Linked DNA regions of Schizosaccharomyces pombe. Changing the gene in region 3 together with the main gene of any one other region gives a genetic interaction. Each region holds a gene or a part of one and is shown on either strand. Other genes may lie near its edges.

What was found. Genes that interact genetically often act in the same process or in processes that back each other up.
Region 1: mutations in vps38 (region 3) and ynd1 together harm fitness more than expected from each alone (negative genetic interaction), as found in Schizosaccharomyces pombe (one large-scale study listed by BioGRID).
Region 2: mutations in vps38 (region 3) and pdc202 together harm fitness more than expected from each alone (negative genetic interaction), as found in Schizosaccharomyces pombe (one large-scale study listed by BioGRID).

Annotation. Positions count from the first base shown.
Region 1 is NC_003421.2:1,459,084-1,464,431, forward strand, and holds ynd1 (nucleoside diphosphatase Ynd1), read right to left. Parts: upstream 3,424-5,348; 5' UTR 3,145-3,423; coding exon 1,426-3,144; 3' UTR 1,083-1,425; downstream 1-1,082. Other genes in the region: PPR-repeat protein ppr6, read left to right, coding at 1-109; elongator complex subunit Elp4, read right to left, coding at 4,170-5,255. UniProt on the Schizosaccharomyces pombe protein: Catalyzes the hydrolysis of phosphoanhydride bonds of nucleoside tri- and di-phosphates. Required for Golgi glycosylation and cell wall integrity. Involved in N-mannosylation of proteins in Golgi.
Region 2 is NC_003424.3:583,561-588,577, reverse strand, and holds pdc202 (pyruvate decarboxylase), read right to left. Parts: upstream 2,982-5,017; coding exon 1,266-2,981; 3' UTR 1,083-1,265; downstream 1-1,082. Other genes in the region: ysp2 (peptidase family M17 cytoplasmic leucyl aminopeptidase yspII (LAP yspII)), read right to left, coding at 4,545-5,017.
Region 3 is NC_003423.3:1,803,995-1,808,993, reverse strand, and holds vps38 (phophatidylinositol 3-kinase complex subunit Vps38), read right to left. Parts: upstream 2,764-4,999; 5' UTR 2,733-2,763; coding exon 2,496-2,732; intron 2,266-2,495; coding exon 2,095-2,265; intron 2,031-2,094; coding exon 1,014-2,030; 3' UTR 677-1,013; downstream 1-676. Other genes in the region: arrestin-related substrate adaptor Any1, read left to right, coding at 1-592. UniProt on the Schizosaccharomyces pombe protein: Involved in endosome-to-Golgi retrograde transport as part of the vps34 PI3-kinase complex II. Mediates the interaction between atg6 and the pik3-ppk19 core complex, leading to the recruitment of atg6 to the membrane.

The sequences.
Region 1 (5,348 bases), on a different chromosome or scaffold from region 3:
GAGATATGCAGAAACTGAACGACCTCATGATACTAAACGAGTTTCGGTTAAGTGGTCAAACGTGTTGAACCAAATTCATTCATCCGTAGGAGATCCTGCTAAACCTTGATGATCTATCCATTCACACTGTACATTCCTTATTAAAAATTTATCCCTTCTTTTTTCTTATATTTATTTCTCTGCTTCTGGAATTTGAGCAAATCCGTAAATAACGGTGTCTAATGTCATTTAGTAAGTCTAAAAGTGTCTAGGCATGCATTTTCTTTAAAGGTTTTAGAGGACTATCGAAAATTGGTTCTAATCGCAAGTTAGGGAATGTTGATGTTAAAAGTTCTGGTTTTTTGTTATGACGAATAATATGTTATCCTTTGACAAATATTATATCGATATTAATTAATGTGCCCTTTTTAGTAATCAAAGAACTCCAGAATTGTTGTACTTGTTAAGTTACTTAAAAAAAATTTAAGTAAAATTTTTTTGCTAGCATCTTAAAAAACTAAAGATTCAATGTCTTGTTGTGCATCACAATTTCTGAGTACATAACTACTGATGCTTGAGGGCTCTAATTTTCAAGCTAAATCAATAAATTTGTAAAGACTATTAAGGTCGTCATGATTTTTTAAGACTCTTAACACTATTTAATTGCCTACCGACGCATTAAAATGCTCTTTCGTGAACTAACAAAGACTTGGGTCTTTTTTGTTCAAATAAGCTACACTTCAAATGCTAGTTTTTTAAGAAAATTTATGGAGATTCTACTTTCAAAATTATTTATCTTGCAGATTTAGAATGTTCGAATTAGGCAGATTAGTTATATTCAATGCATAGGATGAATCATAAAAGTTGCTTCACTTTGATATTATTTAATATAGCTTCATTTGTTTGAGTTCGATATATTAAGATACAGATTGCTCTTTTTTATCATATTAACAAAGGTTGAAAAGAGGTCTTGATTGTAATGGTTTAAAATTTAAAATAACTAACATATGTAATTTTCCATACATCAAACATGTTTTACCTTAGGGGTTGCTATATTTAGTTTACCCAATTCAACTATATGCTTTATCTCAAATTTAATAAAATCGATGATGATTATTATGCTAACTGCCACAAGCGGTTAGAAGAGATATGACTCAAATATCGCAAGTGTAAAATGGACATTTAGGAGTTTTTGCTGACTTGATAAAAATATTCATACGAGTAAACAAAGGACTGGCACGCCTACATAATGTTGAGACGAGTGATTAATATGGTTTGGTTAATTAGGTGTATTATGAATGAAAGAAGTACTGAAAGTGAAATAGAGAAGCAACTGAAATTCACAGCTTTCTCTTTAAGAACGAACGAAAAAATGACAAAAAAGCTAAAAGAAACATATAAGTGCAGCAGAAAGCTGTCCATCCCTAAAATTACGGGTAAAGAATATTAAGGAAAAGGGGATCTAGGCGTTCTCTCTCGACTAGCAGTAAACGAAAGTCTGTCTGCGAGAACATGGCTTGAAGTGGTACGTATCGGGGGTCCATGCCACTTAGAGGGACTGCTCATTTCTAAATCATCAGAAAAATCTGCTATATCCTCATAACTTCCATTTGCAGACATAATGTACGGAGCCTTGCGACGTTGCAAGCGCAGAAGGAATTTTTTGAAACGTTGGCGCCTTTTCGGATCATACCCGAACAAAACCAAAGAGAACAGAAAGAATAAGCAGAAAATAAATGAAAGAATAAAGAACAATTTATTAGGAAATAACCTCATCCAATGTTTTGAAGGGGATGCGATTAGCTTTCCGTATGGGTCCATATAATAATTAGCATATTCCGGTTTTGCTAGAAGTTGCTGATTTGATGCATAAAGCAATACTTGGCCTAAGGTCCAGCTCACTTCGGTGCGTTCTATTTTTTCTAAACTCGTGAATGGAGAATGGTACGCAGGAATTACCGAGAGCCCATCCTTTGCATCATTACTACTTGTATTTGACTTGGGAACGTCGAATCCTTCATGAAGGACATTCAACGCCCATGATGCTTTAAAACAAAGCTTTTCAAGCTTGTTTTCATCAGTACTTGGAGTCAGCTCTTTATTATAAAGACGGGAAAGCATGGTTTCCCACTCTGTACCACAATACTCGTCAACTTTTTTGTAAAAATTAGGGAAATGATAGCTACCGCCCATATCAAACACATCATTAGTCGTATACCAAAATTCCGAGACCCCAACAAATTCAGTATTTGCAAAATCAACAGGAGGAATAGATATTCCATCAAAGTTACAAGGGTCCATGGAGCATGGCTTGTCTTTATTTAATAGATTGTAAGTCAGTTTCAAGCATTGTTTCAAATCTCCAGTACCGGCAAATTCGATCCCATCGATATCATAAGTTCGTCCACGCAAGGAACACGGATCGCTTAAAGTGTTGCCAACTTTTCCGTTTTCGCTTTCTATTAACAGTCCCAAATACCTGCGGTAAGCTTCATTAGCGCCAAAACCGAGCCAGGTAGTAACAAACAAAGGATATTCCAATTGCTGACCATTTTGTAGTCCTATGTGAACGGTCGAAATACTATCCTTGTAATTTTTGAGCTGAGATGGGGGAAGTTCAAAAGCAATTTGCACACTCGCACCGCCCATATCTAAAAAACCAACCGTTGACGTATCTTTTTCTTCAAGTGTCTTAAGGAGATAGTTCGTAGCTAGCCAACCATACATACCTTCAGCTTTGCCATCAATTACACGGATTGAATTTGAGCAATTAGGTATGTCGAAATCGTAATTCTTTTTAATATATCTACAAGCATGCGAAAGTATTTTGTTTTGGGCATCAACGCCCAGTAAACGCATACCAGCTGTAGCACTTAGGAAAACCGGAGTTTCTTTATGTACATCTTTGGGAATAGCATGAGCAGCAAAATCCAGGAGTTCTTTCAAATGCTTCTTCCCTACATGCTTAGGGTTATTGGCAAAGGAAGAAATTCCAGGTTGAACCTTTAAAGACCATTTACCACCATCCCCAATCCCTGTCTCGATTAATGGTAATTTTTTTACTTTATCACTTAAAGAGGAATCGGTATCATAGTCCCAAGAATAAATTAGAAGTCTTGAACCACTAGATCCAGCGTCGATGAAAATTCCATACTTTCGAACCATTTTTAGCCACCTGCACTTATTTTTCTTAACAAAATGTCTCTTTGTCTATAAGACTGGATATTAAATAACTTCGACTCTGAAGATGGATATTTTCATCAAACCAGCCCAATTTGCCTTTTGTTTGTTGATGGTTGAAAGCGCACTATGGCGATGTGAACAATTTCAATATGGCATATGTTCCCAAGATATACATCAATAAAATTCAGTTAAATATATGTATCTGTCTTATCAATGAACCTCTATTTAACTTAATTGAAACATTGAATGAACGTTTGTAGTGGATTATGAACATTCAACTCAATGTTTAACAACTAGCGAATGTATAGGTAGCACATTTTTAGGTGGTAAATCACTATATAGTGAACTCTGTCAAAATGCAAAAAAAGTAAATTGAGACGAATTTAAGGACCCATTCATACGGACTATTGGAATAATCACATTAATTTTGGTCACTTGACTTAAAAGATAATGCGACTAGAATTAAAGAGAAAAATCGAATACGCGAAAACTTTTTGATTTGTCTCTTTAATTTGCTTAGATGTCAAATACTGTTAGTACCAACAGATTGACAATGTTTTGATAACAATCATCAACAATTTACTTCAGAACTGTTTTAATAGAGAAAATAATTGTATCCTTCAAATTTCAACGGTTTAACACTGTTTAAGATTTAAAATGTCATTTACTTACAAGTATTTCATGCACTTTGCTTTAAGATCACAGTAACGGTTCTTCGTAGAGATATTTGACGGCTTTCAGTTCGCATTCTATATTAACTTGTGTTTTAAAGTTTTGATTGAGAGAACGTTTATCCCATTTGACGAACATTTAGATAATTGATCAGTTATCTAGACGGGAGAAATGAAAAATATTTAAACTCGTATGAACAATAAATAACACAAATGCAATGCATCCAAAAAAAATTATAAAATCCATTTACAAACCATAACCATATCACATAACACGAAAACGAGTAGAATTTTAATCCAATTCAATACTCAGAAACTTAGAGGTTTTTTAATTGTCTAAAAATCCAAAGATTTAACAGGCTGTTTTTGAGGATTCGTGTTTGAAATCTTCGTATCCTTTTGCTCATCATCCAGTGGAGGAAGGACCCATGGTTCAATGGTAAATCTTCTTTTCGATACAGTAAATGAGAGGTCTCCAGCTTCATTAGAGTTTGCATGATTGGTAAATGGAAGTGCTAAGGGAAGCTTATGGATACGGAAAAGTCCTAATGGTTGTGTAACTAAACCGTTAACAGTTTCTTTGACCGGGAAAGGATGCAAAGAGAATACGGCGGATGCAAGGTTTTCTAGCCAAAAAATTTGCTCGCAATCTCTTGAAAACAAAGTAGAAGGAACTGAACACATACATATCAAGTGCACCGAAGTAGTGCATTTGATGAGCGATGAAAGTGTGTGAATAAATCTTATGAAATGCTGCGGATGAGTAGCACGGATAGAATAGAAGGCTGGGGACAAAATGGATGGAAGAACTAACCTGCATACCGTACCTGGAGTCAGAGTAGATAAGAATCTCGTTAGACTTTCAATGACAGGGGCGTAAGGATTAGACCCTGTTTCCAAAGGGAATGGAGAAACAGCGTATTTCATATCGCTTTTCACTATCAAATTCTTTGACAAATCAAAGGAGTGAGTATAGCCAGGAGGAATCATATCAAGGGTCGGTGCCTTGGTTTTGGAGACTTGTTCATACCTCCAGGCAATTTTCATTCTTTCTTGCTGGGGATTTTTAGAGGGAGGAGAAGAATGATTATCCTCTCCAGCTGAATTTTCGTTTTTATTAGGCCGGTCGCTGTCGCCTGGAAGTTGACGAAACCACATCTCTCCAATAGATGGACCAAGCCAAATAACATGGTCCTGTTTAAGGCCTTCCGCTGCAAAAAATTTAAGTAGCACAGAAGCATAATCCATCGAATCTTCCTCTATAACCAGCAAACTTTTCATTGGAATGCCGCCAGACAAATAGTAGTCAAAAGAAGAACTCCCAGAGCTTGTAATCCATCTAGCATCCTTTGAAGATAGTCTAACGCCTGTCGGCAAGTTTGTTGGTGCTATTTGAGGTGCTGCTTTCCTTTTGAACGACATCAATACTTATTTCGATTGGTGTACGTGGAATAGCAAATTGGATGGAAAGGTTAACGCGACGCAAATTTGCAGCACACATTTAAGCATCATCAG
Region 2 (5,017 bases), on a different chromosome or scaffold from region 3:
ACTCGACAAAAACTGAGTTGGTATTTTAAAAAAAAAGATAAAAAATTCCTCAGAGGACTATAAGTGGGCCTGAGAAAAAGCGTGAAATAATAACAAAGGGAGAGGAGCTCAATAATTTCTAATTCACCTTAATGTATATCAAAGTGATATATTAATGAATATGCAACGCACAGAAGGAAATGGATTTTTTTATGAAAGCAAAACGTAATAAAATAAAAAGTCACCTACAACTTTTTAAACGGATTTAGATTAATTACCTATTGGAGGCACAAAACGCGTCACAAAAATTAATGCAAAGACAAAGCCGTTCAAAAAGCAAAGAAAAGAAAACAGAGCTTTGAGAACATTCACGCGTTTAACACTTTTGAGAAATGACGGGGAAATTTTTAGGATGCTAAAAAGCGGAATTTTAAGACTTCCTGGTTTAATTACTTTAGCCAAAGAAGTGATCTAAGCTTTATAATTATTAGTAGTCGGTATTTTAGGAATCACTAGTATGCCGAAATTACGAAACTAACCGATCAACACAGCCTCTTCCTATACTTACACAATTCTTGGAATTAGTAGCAAGAATTAAAAGAAAAAGCCAACGAATATTAACCAAAATATATTTTTTCAAGGTACCAAACGCCACGAAATGCAGCTTACCTTCCTATGCGAAAGAATAGAGCGCTGAAGTATGGTGTGGTGTAGAGTGTCAAAGTCAGAAGCTGCGTTGCAGAACCATTTATAAACAACAACGCAAACCGTTCGTCCGTTGCTGTGATAGAGTGATACATAATATCAGTCAATTGCCTTTACCCGCTACATTACCTAGGAAATCGTAATAAACGAGCGTTATAATTTCATTACGTTACAAAACCACTGTATTAAATAGTAGAATCACCCAATTTTTGTAAAACTAATAAATTCTTAGCATATCACAATGTGAATGGAACGGTAGCTCCTATGTAAGAAATAAGAATGTTAAAGTTGGCTTTTAAGCAGTTTAGCAATTTTTCTGCGAAACTAGTAAGTAGATGCAAGGAAACTGGTTTCCACATTGTTTGGATTAACTCTACCTTTTCATTCATTGCTTCCAAGGTATTGTTTGTTTACGTACACCCTAACTTGACTTGAAAAATTTTAAACTAAAAAGTTGCTTTAAACATAAATTTAATAACTAATCATTATACTAAAAGACTATATGAATTGAATGGGCTTATCATAAAAAACATATAAATCAAAGGAAACTTTGTTTGCCAATTCCACTCTCAATAGCTTGCTCATTGCTTATTGATCTTAGACGTCAACTTGGCTTGCTCAACTAGGACACGAGGTGCATCCAACATAGGCATTACAAGCTCAACTACTTGAATGACATCTGCATTTGCAAACTCCTTGTCGCTAAACAACTTTTCAACGTCAGTAGGAGTTTTAACACAGTAAGTGCGGAAGTGGTTTTCAGCAGCTCCGAAAAACTTGGGAATCTGTTGGTAGCCCCATTTAGTGTTAATTTCGTTATAGCTAGCATGCAAACCATGAATTAAACGCTCAATGGTGTAACCGTCGTTGTTAATTATGAAAATAATTGGTTTGAGGTTATGGCGAATGCAGGTTGAAATCTCTGTAATCGTCAGTTGTAAGGATCCATCACCTACTACAAGAATGGTACGACGATCGGGCTCTTTAGAATCGTGGACGGCCAAAACAGCACCAAACATTGCACCAACGGAGTATCCAATAGATCCCCATAATACCTGGGAAATGGCTGTTACATCCTTTGGAAACCTGCAATCAAGGACACCAAAGTTTGCAGTTCCAGTCTCGGTGATCAAAACATCTCGGGGCTTCAAAAATTCACTAAATTTAGGCCAAAACCAGCAATGAGTAATCTCGTTGGAAGAATATCCTTCCGCATGCTTAGGCTTGATGTTGTAGCCAATGGTAGGAGCAGCCTTGGAATGACACATAGAAGCATCAAGTACTTTCAACAGTTTGCGAAGAATATACTTCATGGCTACATTTGGATAAAGAGCATATCGAATGCGCATGTGGTCTGAATGAAACTCAACGGCATTCTTTTGGCTGAGGTGGTAAGAGAAGGAACCCGTGTTAAAGTCTGATTTGAGAGCACCGATGGATAGCAACAGATCAGTGGATTCAATTCTGTCTTTAACTTCAGGATCTGAAATTGAACCAACATAAACGCCGTCAAAAAATTGCGAAGTTTCGTCAATTGCAGATTTACCCATGGGAGTTACATATGTAGGGAAATGGGTCAATTTAATCAGCTCATGTACTTCTGGAACGACACGATGTCTTACAGCACAAGCGTCAATTAAAATCACTGGTTTCTTTGCATTGACAACCATTTCCGAGATATGATTGATGACTTCTTGCTCAACTGCTGGATCGTTAGTATCCTCCTCGAGCTTTAGTCTTTTCCCAAGATTTGATGAAGATGCTTTGAAGTAGCCAGCATCAGAAGGAATACCAATGTAAACAGGCCTAGCCTTTTTATAACAAATCGACAAGGCTTCATCGATCTTTTCAGCTGCATCGTTTCCGTTATCGATCATTATACTGTAGGCAGAAACTTTCTTAAACATATCCATGAAAGTGCGAAAGTCTCCATCTCCTAAAGTATGATGAAGCAAAGCTCCAGTATCTTGCACCTTTGTGGAAGGCATTCCAACAATATGAACTACTGGGACATGCTCCGCATAAGAACCTGCCACTCCATTAATAGCGGAAAGCTCTCCCACGCCGAACGTTGTAACAATGGCTGAAAGACCATTAACACGAGCATAACCATCAGCGGCATAAGCACCATTCAACTCATTGGTATTGCCAACCCAACGAAATTTCTCATCTCCAACTTTCTCAATTAAGTCAAGTAGAGCTAAATTGAAATCTCCTGGAACACCAAGAATGGACTTGACCCCTAATTGTTCAAGCCTTTTGAATAGATATTCACCGACTAAAATATCCCCACTCATGTTTGATAATGCAATTTAATGTGCTTGTGAAATATACTCAACAAATTACAATGCTGAGTGTGTATTCCTTTTTCGCAAGATAATTATCTGTTGAATAACCAGCAGATACTTTCTGAACTTAAAGGAACAAGTGAGTTTGCTAGCTAAAAGTTAAAAAGATATAACCTTAGATGCTTCAGAGCAGGGTTACTCTGGCTATATAAGCAACATTCCGTCATCAATGATACATTGAGTTAATGTGGATTATTCTTTTTGAAACTCTTGGTACGAAACCACTCGTCAGAGGCTATTTCATTATTCGACTCAAATCTCACTATGTGCCACCCGGGAAAACGTCAACTATGCAATTTGCAATTATTGATTTAAGGCATCGTCAGCAGTTTATACTGGACGATTCTTCGGTTAGTGTAAGCAACTGCAGAAATTATTATGAAAACTCTACATCACCGAACGTTCCGTCTCGAAATTCTTAATTGTATCTATACCAAAGACAAAATTGATACCTTTTACATTATGTCTAAACTGAATTTAATGACTATTCCTTATTTCAAGCTTATTAATTTACATGCTTTATTGGTTTGTACCATGTTTGTTTGGATACTTAACATTGAGAGCTGAATGTGAAATATTGTTTCGTCCGTAAAAGTAAGGCGTACCTCATGGTTACGAGACCATGTGACCACTCAAAAATAGAATCCTCATTATTATAAAGTATCCAAAAGTCTTTGAACATATTGCTGTAATTATGATTTCACATGAATATTAACGACATTTTTCAACCGAGTTCACGATTTGCCTGACATCTAGCAATATCGATTTCACAATTGATGGACCATTTATAGGCTTCTTGCTTTAATTCTGATTATTTTTTTCATTGTTATATTGCTACAGTGTTAAGCTTCAACTTGTTGTTTTTCTGTTTATCATATTGATTTGCAAATTGTAACGCTCCTTGCTATCCTCAATAGTTGCCATGAGCCAAACGGTATAGCAAGAAGTGATCTCCAGCACTGGTTCCCCCACCCCCACATGATGTGTACATTTAAGAGGGCAGGTAACGCTAATAAATAGTATGATAAATAATACAAAATTACTGTTATAAAAATTTCAACAGATATCTAAAAAAAATTGATTTGATCATATCCCAAAGTATTGTAAACTCGCACAGGAGAATATTCTACCTTTAAAGATTTAGTTTTGTATTATGATTTTGTTTGACAAAAGTAATAGTCATGAGTAAATTGATTACTACATTTAATAAACAAATCTATATTCAAAATAGAAAAAAAAAATTCGCTACTTCGAAAGTGAAATTTAACAACATGAGACTTCAACCGAATTGATTTTATTTTTAAAGGAAACAGAACCAGAGCCATCAGAAAGACTCGGTCCTTACAACCGTTATGAACGGTTGTGGAAAACAGTATTAAAAAGAATAAAATCATGATAGCTACATATCATTGACATACACTTAACAAGGACATTGAAAAATGAGATTGGTGTAATCAACAGTAAATAAGTAAAAACATAAAGTTTGCACATATAGCCAAGAAAATAAATAAGCTAATACTTGCGAGCGACTTCAATAATAGTGCGAACTGGGCGTCCGCTCATGCCGTCACAATCCCAAGAATTAAGCTGCTTATCCATAACTCCGGCAATGTCTAAATGAGCAAAAGACAAATCTTTCTGGGCTAAGAAGCATTTAATAAAGGCAGCCGCTGTACAACAACCACCACCGGCACGACTAACATTGCACAAATCAGCATTTGAAGAACTTGTAAGTTGCTTGAGGTAAGCCTCGTGAAATGGCATACGCCAGAAAAGGTCTCCAGCATCATGGGAAGCAGTTTCAAGATTCTTCCACAACTCTTCTCCTTGAACAAATGCACCAGTAAATACATTACCGAGGGCTACTAGCATAGCACCAGTTAATGTGCTGGCTTCAATCACAGCCTTGGTCTTATACTGAGAAGAGACATAGTGAACTGCATCGGCAAGAATAAGACGACCCTCAGCGTCAGTGTTATCAATTT
Region 3 (4,999 bases):
CATTCCTTCGCCTGATACCATCCATAAACGTATCTTTCCCCCTACGAATCTTGTTGCAAACATTACTTTGCCCAGTACCTTGCATCCTCATGGAGCTGCGCTTATGGAAGTTACCATGACTGGTTTTGCCCAAAATGACGGCAACGATTGGAAGATCAATAGAGTTACTTGGAGATTGGAGGAGCATATGCAGTTTAGTTGTCAACCATGTGAACGCCATCGTGATTTGGTAAAACCTCGACCTATTGAAGAAAAAAGAATTTTGAGTACACAAGATTTACAATCGGGATGGAAGTTCATTGATAATCAGATGTTTCTATCTACTCAAATTAACACATCTTCTTTAAGAGAGCCAAGCTGTGACGTGGAAATTCCTGCCCCTTTTTCCTTAAAAGTCTCTCATCATTTAATTTTTGAGACCATTGTTAATAGAAAAAAGAACGTTGCGGGAAACAATATGGGCAATGCCCGTATCTTACGAGTATCAGTCGTTCAGCCACTTACCACGCCAGCTGGTTTAGGTATTAGTTGGGATGAAGAATGCCCGCCAGTTTTTGAAAGTGTAGGACCCGCTCCGCCTGCCTATACCTAGAATATGTGGGTCGGATGTAACCGGAAGAGCTCGATCACCATCACATAACTATCAAAAAATGAACATGGCTCTTTTTATTTTTTAATTCACAAGTTTTATTAATTTAAGGGAACTATTTATAATATCTACATTCATCATTATCTGTTTATTTTTATATTTTAAACGTAAATGCATTGTATAGTAGTTGTCGCAATGACAATGAGTAATATGCCTTCGGCAAATGTCCATAAAAACTCTTCATTAAGATGATTAAAATTAAACCGTGAAATGGGTATATGAATTTCCAACAAAGAATACGAAAACGAAATTGATTGTTGAGAGTAAACTAGGGTGAAAAGATACAATTAAACGATAGACAAGTTATGCGTAGTTTTGCAATTAACGATAATTTAGGCTTATGGTGCCTAAGCTTATGGAATTGTTAAGGAGCGGTAGACGTTACTTGTACAAAAGATAGATGTTGTCCTGATAAAATAAATTGGAGCAGTTTTTTAAAGTTCCTGAGTATGTCCATGGATTGGTCAATAGGTAATCCAAAAGTTTCTAAAAAATCATTTACATCCTGGTTGAGAAGATAAATGGCATGTTCAAAAAGCTCAATTGGTCGAGTTGCTGGATAAAGGGGAAAGATACGCGTGGGGATGTCGGGTGTCAATGTATCCAGGATGGAGGATCTCGAAGATGCGCAAAGAATTGGATAAGCGAGTTCTTTTTCGAGATACTTTGAAAGAGTTTGAAGTAAATGCGCCAAAAATCCTATGGAAGCAGCCATTTCCACATTATTAATTTTATCTGGCTCAAAAGATAGGCGGAGATTGCGAATTGTAAACTCGTCATGATTGCCAGGCGATGGTTGGATTGGGTAAATTTTGGAAAGATGGGAAACGTGCATACGAATAGCATGTGCCATAAGGATTCGAATCTCTATATTGGTCTCTACTTTTGTTTTTAAAGAATTGGCAAGTTCCACATACTCAGCTTCATCTTTTTGAAGGGATTCTTTGGATTTGTTCAAAGTGTTCCTTTTTGAGGATAACCAGCTTTTCGTCTTGTCAAATTTCGTCCTCATCTGAGTGATGCTATTAATTTGTTTTTGCCAAAGATGTTCTAATTTAGCCAGTTCATCGATTTTTTCATCCCGAAGTAACATCCTTTTGTGCATCAAACGTATCTGCTGAAACTCCTCCTCCTGAAAATGAGCTCGAATTTCATGTTTAGCAATGTGCATTTCATCTATGCATTCAGCCAGTTTCAAAATTCGAGTGATTTTCTGAATAGTGTAACCATCCTTCCGCCTGTCTATAGAATATGTGGAGGCACTTTTTGGAAAGGAGGTCTGTCTCATAATATCCGAAGACTGGGATGTTGTGTAGATGTAAACGCCATCATTAAATTCACATAAAAGACCGTTTCGAATATGACAAACTGCAAAAACAGGCTACAAATAATATGTTAGTCAACACAAGGGAAACATAAGGTAAACCAAAAATATTCAACCGTACATCATTACCAATATAACGAAAATTACTGTCATATCTCAAAATTTTCCATTCTTTATGTAGCTTGAAGGCATGACTACTTGATGAGCACCAAGTCCTCACGATAAAGTACTCTTCGTGACGGTATTTTTGAAGCTTTTCGGTTACTTTTTCATCGACGTAAAAGATGTGATTCTAATGAGAGGTTAGACACAAAGAACATAAATACATACAAAATTTGTATATGGGTAAAAGAGATACAAGGTATAAACTATCAATTGAGGGCTTTGTTTCAAGGATTTGAGCAACGAAATTTTGGCAAATCACTTGTATAAACAAACTGATTAACCTTTTCAATCAAGCAAATAACCTAGATATAATGATACCATTCAGATACTTTTGTTTATCAAAGCATGTTCACATACAGCATTTCCGCTCGTTTCAGTAATATAAACAGGCAATTTCTTACTCTGCACATGCAATGATATAAAAATACGAATAGTTCCTTCGGAAATTGCACGTTTTAACTGCACATCTCGTTTCCACAAATTTTCCGTCGTATTGATCGCAAATTTGCTATGATTTTGAATTTCTTGAACATTTCTTATTTGTATTGATTTAAGCCTGGAAAGTCGGTAGTTTCCTGGTAATTCAAGCGACATTCTATCATGGTTAAAGCAATGAATGCTTTTGCTTCATCGCATCGCCCTACTTGGTAAACTCAGCTGAGTCTGGTGCTAGCGTAGGATAACAATATACTGGTTTAGTTCGTTATTGTCAGCAATACTACACTACGCAATGATACTCCACGTTGCATATCACTATATGTCACATGTTCACAATGTTCTATTTGCTCTATCAACTATTACATGATAAGTCATCAAGATGGAGATATAATATCATTCATGATAAGATAACTATCAGATATAATTCTTACTACTTCAAATATTATAAATTGAGAACAACTGAACCTCGTCCCTCAGTTCAGTTATAAGATATATTAGTGATAGGTAACATTATAACCTAGTTAATACAATACCTATACTCAGTTGCTACTCATACAACCTGTGTATTGTAATATAATAGATCACAAGGAAAACTCACCGCAGTTCTATGTATCCTTAAATCAGATACCAAACTGCGAAGCTAACATTATATGCACTTTATTGTCAGCAGCAAGACTTCACTAAGCCCTTTTGCGTGTCATTATATGCTACCATTAATTAATTGGATTATAATACTATACATAATATAATCGTTAAATGTATTTATATTAAATTATATTTAGATAATTCTGAAACTTTGCCGTAATATATCTTATTCTTAAAGCTGGCCACTGATCCTTTAGCTCAGAACTCATTCTTTAAGGAAATTTAGTGTCTTCCGTAATGGTTGAATGAATTTAAAAAGGTTCAATAAAATAATATAGCAGAAATTAACTGTAAAGAAATTTTTTAATTGATAACTGATGTGAGTTTGAATCAATGGCGAAAATTTTTTTTTTTAATTGCTTTATTACTGTCTTCGAAAATTGATGTACTATGGCCCAGATCATTATGAGCAAGAAGGTCTGAGCCAAAAAAAAAAAAAAAAAAAAAAAAAAAAAAAGAGTAAATCAAACATTATTACCAACAAAAAAGCACGCTTTCAGTTTTTACTATTCATTTGTCCGCTGAAGAAGCACAAAAAAAAATTTGATACTTTGTTTTTGAAAACAATTTAACCATATTTACAGTCAGCAAGAAATAAAACGCAGAAGAAGTAAGTGAAATAAAAAATAATTTAGAGCAATATTATAAGCAACCGAACAGAATTGCTATGATCAAAATGGTATTTAAGAAATTTAAACAAATTCAATAGTAAACGCTGTTACATGTTGCTAAAAACATTATCGGCCAAACCAGTAGAACTTCCAGAGTGAGCTTATTTTCCTTATTATAGGTTGGACTTGCTAATGTTGTTTAAATAATTTAACTATAGATATATTCTGTAAACAATCGAAGTGTCATCAAGCCCGTCCTGAAGAAACCCGATAAAAGATCTAAAAACACAAATTAATTTACAGTCACAATAAACAAATTAAATATTTTTTAGTATGCGGCGATAATTTTCGTTAAGAAAGGAACCAGTAACAGTGGGTATTGCATATGTGCATACAATTGGAATGTGGAGATGAAATGTAAATAAAATCTGCAAACATGATAAAATGAAACTTCAAGTTATTTTATAATTTAAATCCACTTTGATTTGACTTCCGTCTGATATGTCAAACGAGGCAGAATGAACATTTGCTTTACGAGTTAGGATGAAATCCTTGTTCACGCTCTTTCGCTTCAATGTTTTCAATTCATGCAATATTGTATAATACTCTCCATTTCTTTAATTTAAAAACTGAGAAAATTTTATTGTCCAGTTAGAAGGTCTATTTACAAATGAGTGATGTGTAAACATAGAAAATGAAAGTGTAATCGATTTGGAAAGAGGTCTCTCTCTAAATGTAGCACAGATAATGGATGAACAACACCCACCTAATCGGGTAAGGATTTTAGTTAATAAGAAAAAATTGTATTATTAAAAAAGGATGTTTTGCTTTTCCATGTACGGTATGCTCACCACTAATGTGTTGATGAGTACTGTTTATAGCTGGTCGATTCGCTCAAAATATGTAAAGCATGGCACATCTTTATTTTCCTCATATATTTACGTTGGAATTCATAATTTAAGATTTTTTAGGTTCTCCAAACCGTAATGATACCTATTGAGTTGAAATAAATATCGGCAATGAGTACGTGCAGACTTAAAACTCAGAGCTTCCGTGGAGAACAGGATAATTAATTCTTTAAATCTGAAACAAGAAAATGGTGATGTTGAACAGCGGCACATATTAATTTCTATAAAAATAAACATAATGATTTTTGAATTACAAAGT